2 linked regions of the Saccharomyces cerevisiae S288C genome follow. The protein of the gene in region 2 interacts with the protein of the main gene of each other region in a biochemical or structural test. Each region holds a gene or a part of one and is shown on either strand. Other genes may lie near its edges.

Region 1 (4,852 bases), on a different chromosome or scaffold from region 2:
TATCGCAATAAGAAGGAGGGGCAAAGAAAGCAGGATGCTACTATTAAAATAGTTTGCTTTTGTTAAATGCCCAGTTTCACGCTATAAGTATGCAAAATTAAAGAATAAAAAGCCCAATGAGGAATAAAGCAGTTTTATTGAGGTGAGACTAAAAGGGTCTAGCAATGAAAACAATATATGTTTCCTTTTTAAAATGTACCAAAGTCTTTATACTCGCTCGTTGATGTACTGGGCGTTATCAAAACTGTTTGCCACTGGGTAGTTGCCTTATGGTCACTATCTGCAAGTTAAATTCAATCGCAAGAGGAAGAGAAAATAAACCGTCGCATCACTTTTCTACACTTACCCGGTTATTAATTTTATAACGTTTATATGATATATCTTTTCTTATTTATTATATTATGAATCGTGAAAACGGATTAAGCTATGCTTACAATTTGGTTTCCTCTAGTTTCGTGGCAATCTCGTTGGTCTTAGTAGCGCCTGGGTACTTAGTACCCTTATTCTTTGGTTTCTTAGCCTTTTTCGACTTTTGTGGTGTGGCAACTGGATAACCCTTTTCGGAGGCCTCTTGAAATTCCTTGTTGTTGGCAAATTCTTGTCTGATTGGCTCCAATAGCTCGTTGATAGCGTCAGCAACACCAATTTTTAGATCAGGTGGGGACAATTTTTCTTCTTTAAAAGCCAATTTCATTTCTTCGAAGGATTTGTAGGTAATTGGACCACCGAACTTTTCTGGTCTATCAATGAAGAATTCGAAGTGATTTGTACCAAACTTCAATTCTTGGATTGGTGCAATGACATATTGGACAAATGACAGTAAACCATTCTCTTCGACGTTACCGGGGCTACAAAATGCACTATTGATCTTTTTCTTAACTTGCTTTGGTTCTTCCAAAAGGTCGATTTTTGAATTCGGATCAGAGGCAGACATTTTACCACCTTGAGCCAAACCTGGAACCATAGGGTTCATTAAATGTGCTCTTTTCTTGTAGCCCAAACTTGGTAAATTTTCTTCCGCTAAGACAAAAATTTTTCTCTGGTCGACACCACCAAATTGGCAATCAACATCTAAGAATTGTTCGTCCAACGCTTGCATTAAAGGATAGATAAGCCCACTCAATAATGGATTGGCGACTTGCTTGACAACATCAGCGCCTGCCCTTTTAGCATCGTTTTGTGAAACAATGTTGGATAATCTAAAGATATCCATGGTATAGTCTGGAGTTAGCTGGTAAGAAGAGCCAACAACAAATTTTAGCTTTTCAATTGGAACATTGATGCTTCTCAAGATAGCTTTGATGGTCAATTCATAGTATTTGGCCCTATAGTTCACCACTTCCAATGGCGCCTTCATGTTGTCCAAAAAGGCGTGCAAGTCTGCTAAAAGAACAGTCACTTCACAACCTGCTTTCAAGAAATCAGCAAGCTTGGTCATAGGAACAAAATAACCACAATGAGGTCTTCCAGTGGGCGCGGTACCCCAGTATAATTTCAAATGTCTCTTTTGTACTTCGAGAACATCTTTGATGATTTGTGGGTTCAAGACTTCTTGCAAGTTCTTGGTAATGAGACCGAACGCCTCATTAGGGTCAACCGTGGCAGCAGAGGACATGTTATCGTCAATTAGAGTATGCGGTTATGGATGCTAATCTCTTTTTGACAATGACTAATTTGTATTCTGAAGAAAGAACAATTAATTTTCATAAAATTTTTCTACTTTGTAAATGTTCGAGTTCCGTTCTTAGTGATGCTCGAATAAGGACCTTCTCGCCTCCATGATAAAATAAAAATTATGATAGTAAGAAGTATGGATGGTTCGAAAGGTTGAAGAATAGCTAGGGAGGCCTATTCGAGTAAGCGCAAGGATGTCCAGACGCAATCCACCAGGCAGTAGAAACGGGGGAGGTCCGACGAATGCCTCTCCCTTCATTAAAAGAGACAGAATGAGAAGAAATTTCCTGAGGATGAGAATGGGTCAAAACGGCAGCAATTCTAGTTCCCCAGGCGTACCAAATGGAGACAACAGCAGGGGATCTCTTGTCAAAAAGGATGATCCTGAGTATGCTGAAGAGAGAGAGAAAATGCTTTTGCAAATCGGTGTCGAGGCCGATGCTGGCAGGAGCAATGTTAAAGTAAAGGACGAAGATCCTAATGAATATAATGAATTTCCCTTAAGAGCTATTCCAAAGGAGGATTTAGAAAACATGAGGACACATCTTTTGAAGTTTCAGAGTAAAAAAAAGATAAACCCTGTAACAGACTTCCATCTTCCCGTAAGACTGCATAGGAAGGATACGAGAAACTTGCAGTTTCAGCTAACAAGAGCAGAAATTGTTCAAAGGCAAAAAGAAATTTCTGAGTATAAAAAAAAAGCAGAGCAAGAAAGAAGTACTCCTAACTCGGGTGGTATGAATAAATCAGGAACGGTCTCGCTCAATAATACTGTTAAAGATGGGTCTCAGACACCTACTGTTGATTCAGTTACTAAAGACAACACGGCCAACGGTGTGAACTCCTCCATTCCTACTGTAACTGGCTCTTCTGTCCCTCCTGCTAGTCCTACTACTGTATCCGCCGTTGAAAGTAATGGACTGTCAAATGGTTCAACTAGTGCAGCTAACGGTTTGGATGGCAATGCATCTACAGCGAATCTAGCTAACGGAAGGCCGTTAGTGACAAAACTAGAGGATGCAGGCCCAGCTGAAGACCCTACTAAAGTTGGAATGGTCAAGTACGACGGAAAAGAAGTGACTAACGAACCGGAATTTGAAGAAGGAACTATGGATCCACTAGCAGATGTGGCACCAGATGGAGGCGGTAGGGCCAAACGAGGAAATTTGAGAAGGAAAACTCGTCAATTAAAAGTTCTTGATGAGAACGCCAAAAAGCTGAGATTTGAGGAATTTTATCCATGGGTTATGGAAGATTTTGATGGGTACAATACATGGGTGGGTTCTTATGAAGCAGGTAACTCAGATTCTTATGTCTTGTTAAGTGTAGAAGATGATGGAAGTTTTACCATGATTCCTGCTGATAAGGTTTATAAGTTTACCGCAAGAAATAAATATGCTACTTTGACCATTGACGAAGCAGAAAAAAGAATGGACAAAAAAAGTGGTGAAGTGCCACGTTGGTTGATGAAGCATTTGGATAATATAGGTACAACTACAACTAGATATGACAGAACAAGAAGAAAGCTTAAAGCCGTCGCTGATCAACAAGCTATGGATGAAGATGATCGTGATGACAATTCAGAAGTAGAGTTAGATTATGATGAAGAGTTTGCCGATGATGAGGAGGCACCTATTATAGATGGTAATGAACAAGAAAATAAAGAATCAGAACAAAGAATCAAGAAGGAGATGCTGCAAGCTAATGCGATGGGGCTTCGTGATGAAGAAGCTCCTTCCGAAAACGAAGAAGATGAGTTATTTGGGGAAAAGAAGATTGATGAGGATGGTGAAAGAATTAAGAAGGCATTACAAAAGACAGAACTTGCAGCACTATACTCATCGGATGAAAATGAGATCAACCCATACTTATCTGAATCCGATATTGAAAACAAAGAGAATGAATCGCCCGTTAAAAAGGAAGAAGATTCGGACACTCTATCCAAATCCAAGAGATCTTCTCCAAAGAAACAGCAAAAGAAAGCTACAAATGCGCATGTGCATAAAGAGCCAACTTTGAGGGTGAAAAGTATTAAAAACTGTGTCATTATCTTGAAGGGGGATAAGAAAATACTGAAAAGCTTCCCAGAGGGAGAATGGAATCCACAGACGACAAAAGCTGTAGATAGTAGTAATAATGCATCGAATACAGTGCCTTCGCCAATCAAACAAGAGGAAGGCTTGAATTCTACAGTGGCAGAAAGGGAAGAAACTCCAGCGCCTACAATAACAGAAAAAGATATCATCGAGGCTATTGGTGATGGCAAAGTCAATATCAAAGAGTTTGGAAAGTTCATCAGAAGAAAATATCCTGGCGCAGAGAATAAAAAGCTAATGTTTGCCATTGTAAAAAAATTGTGTCGAAAGGTTGGCAATGACCACATGGAATTAAAGAAAGAGTAGGTTAGTTTATAATGTTATGTACTTAATAGGTTATTTAGTTTTCGTTCTTTTCATTCTTTCCTTTTTCTTTCCATTTAATCTTATGTAGTTACATTATACTGTCATTTTAGTTGCAGTAAGTATACTTTTTTATCTAGTCTTTTTTTCTGCCTTTTTTTTGAGAAAAGACTCAGAATTCTACTAAACTCTAATATATTGTTATTTCTGTATTATACAATTCTATGCTATGTGAACTGTCCTTGAAAGTGACCTAGGCCACTTCGACAATTTCATCTTCTTCGTCGTCATCTTCTTCTTCTTCACTCTCCTCCTCTTCTTCCTCTTCCGCATTCTTTGATGGCATCTCTTCCACTGCTCCCGCACCTGGCTCGCCTCTCATTAACATATTAACAATTCTGTAACATAATTCACCAATATCTTCATTCTCAACGTTTTTATGCAGCTCCCTCACTAGTGGATAAACGGACTTGTCTCTTAAGTATTCTCTTCCAGCATGCGTTGTACATAGCAAAAGAATACTTTCTAAATGACAGCATATAATTGCAGGAATCGGGTCTCTTTCCTTGTCCTCTGGTAATAATTGAAGTTCATCTGGTAAATTGAACATATCTTCCTCATCAATTTCAGAATCTTTAGCACTAGCAATAGGTAGCAGGATGTAAGGCAACAAGTTTATTTTTTCATCTTTGAGTAACCTTTCATGAGTTTCAGAATCAAATAGGGAATTTTTAATTGTGGAAGCGACACCTTCTCTTCTTACCTTTGCATCATATTTT
Region 2 (5,208 bases):
ATGCATTGGAGTGTAAACGAACCAAGGTTTGGCTTTTACTTCAAGCTTTAATGGGTTGATTTCTACCAGATTTTTAGAAACCTCCTCTAAATATAACTTCAGCATTTCTTCTCTGGAATACATCAATTTCCCTTGTTTGAGAGCCTTATTTAGAACATCGTCGAAATCCCACACATTGGCCCATGGTTCTAAATTTGCGTCAATGGAATCAGAGATGGCATGATCGTGAGGTGGAATGATTTGGCATCCATTGGAATAGTATACTTTATATCCATTATCCATTTTTGGGTTGTGACTTGCTGTTATCATTACGCCAACGGAGGCCTTTAGCTTATCCACTGCAAAGGGAACTAAAGGGGTATGAACAAATTCGTGGTCAGGATTCAAATAATGTACCTTAAATCCTTTTAAAAGAAATGCAGCAGCAGTAGCTCTAGCGAACTCCTTAGAATGGAATCTATGATCGTGTCCCACAACAGCTACCAAATTGTCTGGAAACTGTTGTCTTACATAAGTTGCCAATCCCTGAGACGCTTGTATGACTACTAAAGTATTCATCCTGCTAAAGCCAGCTTGCATTTGCGATCTTAAACCAGCAGTGCCAAACTGAATTCTAGAATCAAATCTTTTGTGTAACTCATTCCAGTCGGATTTTTTGCAGAGAGCGGTGACCTCTTCTATAGTTTTTGGGTTGCGGTCTTGCTTAAACCATAATGATATCGGATCTTTCAAGTCAGATGGTACGGTTTCTAAAATTCCTTGCAACATTTTTTGAAATTGCAGCAGCTAATGGCTCGAGAGTACTGTTGAGTATTTAGGGGGAAAGGAGAAAGAATCAATTAGTTCTCGCTACAGGGAGAAAACAATACAATATATAATGTTCAAAAAAAAAAAACGAAATGAAATCAAAAAAAAAAAAAAAAAAAAAAAAAAAAAAAAAAGGATTTCAGGATATCAAAATAAGCAAAAATATTGTTGCTATTTATCGATTTGTTACAAACGTATATATAATATGAACAATTATAGGTACAAAGACCAATGAGGAAAATGTGTGGAAAGATACGGCATCTGAGCTGCTAATCATCCAGCATATCCATCAACTCTTCCTCCAACTGCGAATCGCTGTCTTCGTTGTCATCCCCTTCTCCTTTATGTTGTACAGGACCATCTTGAGAAGGTTCCGCCTTGGTCTTCTTTTGTGATGTATCATCATGATTGTCCTCGATGCTCCTCTTTCTGTCAATGCCTTCCGAGTTGTTTTCGTCATCACTTTCGTCGTCGTGGTCGTCATCTTCGTCGTCGTCGCTAGCTGTGTCCGGAATATCTTCATCGTCGTCATTGTTTAACCATGAAGTACCAGCAGCGAATAAATTTAGATTTTCTTGTGATGTCAACATATGCTGTTGTTCCTGGGTCTCCTCCAGATATTCTTGTCTTTTTTGTAATTGTGTTTGAAAGTTTTGTAATTCCTCGTCGGAGATGGGGCTGTCCACGATTAACGTGTAGGGTTTTTCATCCACCTTTTTCCAATTTACCAAACACTCAAATATCCAATCTGGGTGAACAATTTTAATCTGTGGGTTGAACTTTTTCGCTAGACGCGCTTTATAAGTGCTAGGGTTCTTGGTGATTAAATGTGTCGTCAGGTAATCTATATCTGGAGTGGAAGTGGCACCAAATGTACTCGTCCATATCACTATGTCCGACCTTTGAATATCGGTCCCGAGGGGTATTAATCCTGAAAAAACAAAATAGCAATTTTGGAAGACTTTTTGCTTCAAACTTGGTATGATTTCCATCAGATTTGGTTCTGGCTCATTTTGTTGTGAGAGCATATCATAATAAGTTTTGTGAATGTTTGATAGCGTACCCATTAAGTAGTATAGTTCATCATCGTCATCAACTAGTAGTTTTTGATCATGCAGGTGTTTTTGTAGTTTGGCCAAGGGTCGATTTTGTTGTTGGACTTCTAAAGATGCTGAATATTCTAGTTTCTTGGTCAACTCTTCTTTGGATTCGTTCGCAGGAGGCTCCTCAGCAGTCGCCAGTTGATGGTTCAATTTTTCTTCTTGGCGTTTAACTTCTTTATCTATCTTTTCTTGTAGTTTTTTTTCGTTATCCATAATATCCGTCAGCAGTTCCTGAGATTCTTGGCTCTTCTGTCTTGTCTTCCTCCCTAGTTGTAGCATTCCTGTAGATTGTTTGGGCAAGAAATTAGAATTAATGTCACCTACACCAACGAAGAAGTTATAAGGAACAACTTTGATCAAGTTTGGACACCAATTCCAAACATCACCTCTGTCGTCAATAACTACAACCATTGACTGGTCAGTGGGGAAAAGTTTAGCTAATGATTTAGTTGTTAGAGACCCATTTTCATCACGCGACAGAATTCTATCGCCAAACAATTCGCCCGTAGGGTCCACGATTTTGGCAATTTGCAAGGCATAAGCCCTTGTAGCCATTGTGTAGATATGCATTTCAAAAAGAGGCGCCACTTTAGCGAAAAATTCCTTTAAACCGGGCCTTACCTTCACGTAGTACCAACATTTTCTTACGGGAGGCGGTCTCAGCATAGAACCATCGTCATTCATGTACATAAGTGGGAGTACTAACTCCTCATCCAACGTAAAGCTCTTGACGTCTCTTAATGTTTCAAAATTCGGATTATTGGGGTCGTTCTTCCACTCTGCAATCGTAGGGTCCACGCCACAATGGATGATGGTTTGATCTAAATCCACCACTAAGATAAGTTTCTTATCCCGTCGCAAATGCTCCTTCAATGCCTTGCCTGTTCTAATGGCTTCTGTCTCGCTAATCTGTAAATCCACGTCCCCGACAACGTCTAGTGGTACACCATCGAAGGCATCTGCAGAAACTTCTTTCCCGCATTGAGTACATAGCCCGCCATACACGATGTCATGGTTACATGGCCTTTTTATTTCGCAAATCACTTGGTTAGCAGTGGCTACTTCATCTCCTACGTCTACATTCCAACTAATCAAGTCCCCCTCGTAGGGACTTTCGAAGAATTCTATGGATTCACGCAGTTGTTTGGTTGGCGGAGAGACACCATTACTTCCGGCGCTGCCGCCGGGGGAAACATCGTGCTCGTTATCATCGTCACCAGTGTCTGAGGCCCTTTCCACCAAATACCAGAACTTATAGACAAGCAACCTATCACCCTCATGAAGGTACGAACCTACGCTTGGAATGAGTTTATCGATCTGAATCGGATACGGCAAGCCTTGGGGAGACCTTATTTGTGTGGTCATAATCTGCTTTGCTTGTGTTTACACGTTCGCGGTCAATGCAAGTACCGCTATATGACTAAATACAGTACCCTGGCTGCTAATTAAAGGGGGAAGGGGTGATTGATTGGGATGATTAGCTCGTTGTTATTATGTGTTTATTACTGTAGGTGTGAAACGAAAATTTTTTTTTTTCTTTCGCAAGGGCGCGTCTTCCAAAAGTGTCCAGATATTATGATGATATTATTGATGGATACATGTAATACGTAGATTAAATATATGCCGATAGAGTAGGGTAAAAGTATATAGGTTGCGGCATCTAGACGTTTATTTAAACATCGCCGTTCAGTAGTGAATCAAGAGCGCCTTGGACGGAGCCACCGCTTCTCCTGAGGGCTGCGACGTTTCTATCGAAATCGAAGAAGCCCATGTCGTTTAGTTGTCTTAATTGATGTTCATAGCGTTCTTCCGGTGGTCTGGTGTCTTCTGCTTGAGATGCTTGTACAGGGGGTTGGAACATAGACGCTAGCAATGCAGGATCGAAGGCGGGCATCCCGGTGGATGCAGCGTTTCCCGCGTTAGCAAAGGGGTTTAATGCAGGGTTCAGAAGAGACGCAAATGGGTTTGCAGCTGTGTTAGCGCCTGCGTTGGTACCTGCATTAGTCCCTGCGTTGTTCCCTGTGTTGGATGAGGAAGTAGTGTTCGTGTTGGAGCCTTCCTCTGGAGCATCGCCACCAGGAGCGGGGAAGGCAGAGGCAGCCCCACCTGCAGAGCCCATACCGGCATTAGGGTCCATCATTCTTGCGAATTGCATGCTCTGTCTAATCATATCAGGATTGGTGAGCATCTGTCTAAACATGGGACTTTGTAGCATTTGCCTGGCTTGTGGACCCATGGCCTGCAATTGCGGGTTGGACTGGATCATAAAGTCCAACATCTGAGGGTTACTCAACATCTCGTTCATTTGCGATTGGAAGATGGGGTTTTCCATCATCCTCAACAGCTCGTCTTGGTTATTCGAGTCGTTGTTTAATGCACCACCGTCCGGGCCAAACATGTCTGCAGATGGCATATTCAAATATCCAGCGTATCTGGCACTGGTCAAGTCGGCCAGCGGATTGAAGCCTGCACTTTGACCTGACGACATGTTCGGGGTGGCGCCAGTGCCAGCTGCTGCACCGGTGGCGGTGGCGTTATTTGCGCCAGCGGCACTGGCGGTTTGTGGTTTGGGTTGTGACTTGACCAGATGGACGCTGTGACCGTCTTGAATGTGGTATGACTCCACGGTTTGGTCGTCCTTTAAAATCTTACCCGAGTAGATCAATCTCTGATTTGCCACCGGGATACCGTTCGCTTTGTTTATCGCCTCCTTGAATTGCAACACTGTGCTTTCAGGTGCCACATTTACTTCCCACTTGTCTTGTCCTGACTTGATATGTATATTCAACGACATTATCGTGCTAGAATGATTCGGTGTCTTTGATCCGTCTTATTTGCCTCTCGTCCATCGGTGGATTGAACTTAAAACTGGCTTTAAATTGTTCTTTCCCTTCAGCGGGCCGTGACCCGCTCTCAGAGGCTATTTTAATAATGATAAAAGTATTGCAATGAAGAGCCGCATAGTGATTATGGAAAGAAGCTCTTAGCAAGGGCGAAAAGAGACTGTTCGTGTGTGTCAACAGGTATATCGTACGCTAAATGGCCAAAGATTTGAACGATTCGGGGTTTCCACCGAAGAGGAAGCCTTTGCTGCGTCCTCAACGATCTGATTTTACCGCAAATAGTTCGACAACTATGAACGTTAATGCAAACACAAGGGGGCGTGGTAGGCAGAAACAAGAGGGTGGTAAAGGCAGTTCGAGGTCACCGTCGTTACACTCTCCAAAATCATGGATAAGAAGCGCGTCTGCTACGGGGATCCTTGGACTAAGACGTCCCGAACTAGCACATTCTCATT

What was found.
Region 1: the proteins of FCP1 (region 2) and TFG1 form a complex in vitro, tested with the Saccharomyces cerevisiae proteins (3 studies listed by BioGRID, with this or other methods).

What each region holds. Positions count from the first base shown.
Region 1 is NC_001139.9:865,906-870,757, forward strand, and holds TFG1 (transcription factor IIF subunit TFG1), read left to right. Parts: upstream 1-1,868; coding exon 1,869-4,076; downstream 4,077-4,852. Other genes in the region: tyrosine--tRNA ligase TYS1, read right to left, coding at 431-1,615; HGH1 (Hgh1p), read right to left, coding at 4,327-4,852. UniProt on the Saccharomyces cerevisiae protein: TFIIF is a general transcription initiation factor that binds to RNA polymerase II.
Region 2 is NC_001145.3:818,323-823,530, reverse strand, and holds FCP1 (protein serine/threonine phosphatase), read right to left. Parts: upstream 3,276-5,208; coding exon 1,077-3,275; downstream 1-1,076. Other genes in the region: phosphoribomutase PRM15, read right to left, coding at 1-768; ubiquitin domain-containing protein DSK2, read right to left, coding at 3,583-4,704; ubiquitin-ubiquitin ligase BUL1, read left to right, coding at 4,950-5,208. UniProt on the Saccharomyces cerevisiae protein: Processively dephosphorylates 'Ser-2' and 'Ser-5' of the heptad repeats YSPTSPS in the C-terminal domain of the largest RNA polymerase II subunit (RPB1). This promotes the activity of RNA polymerase II.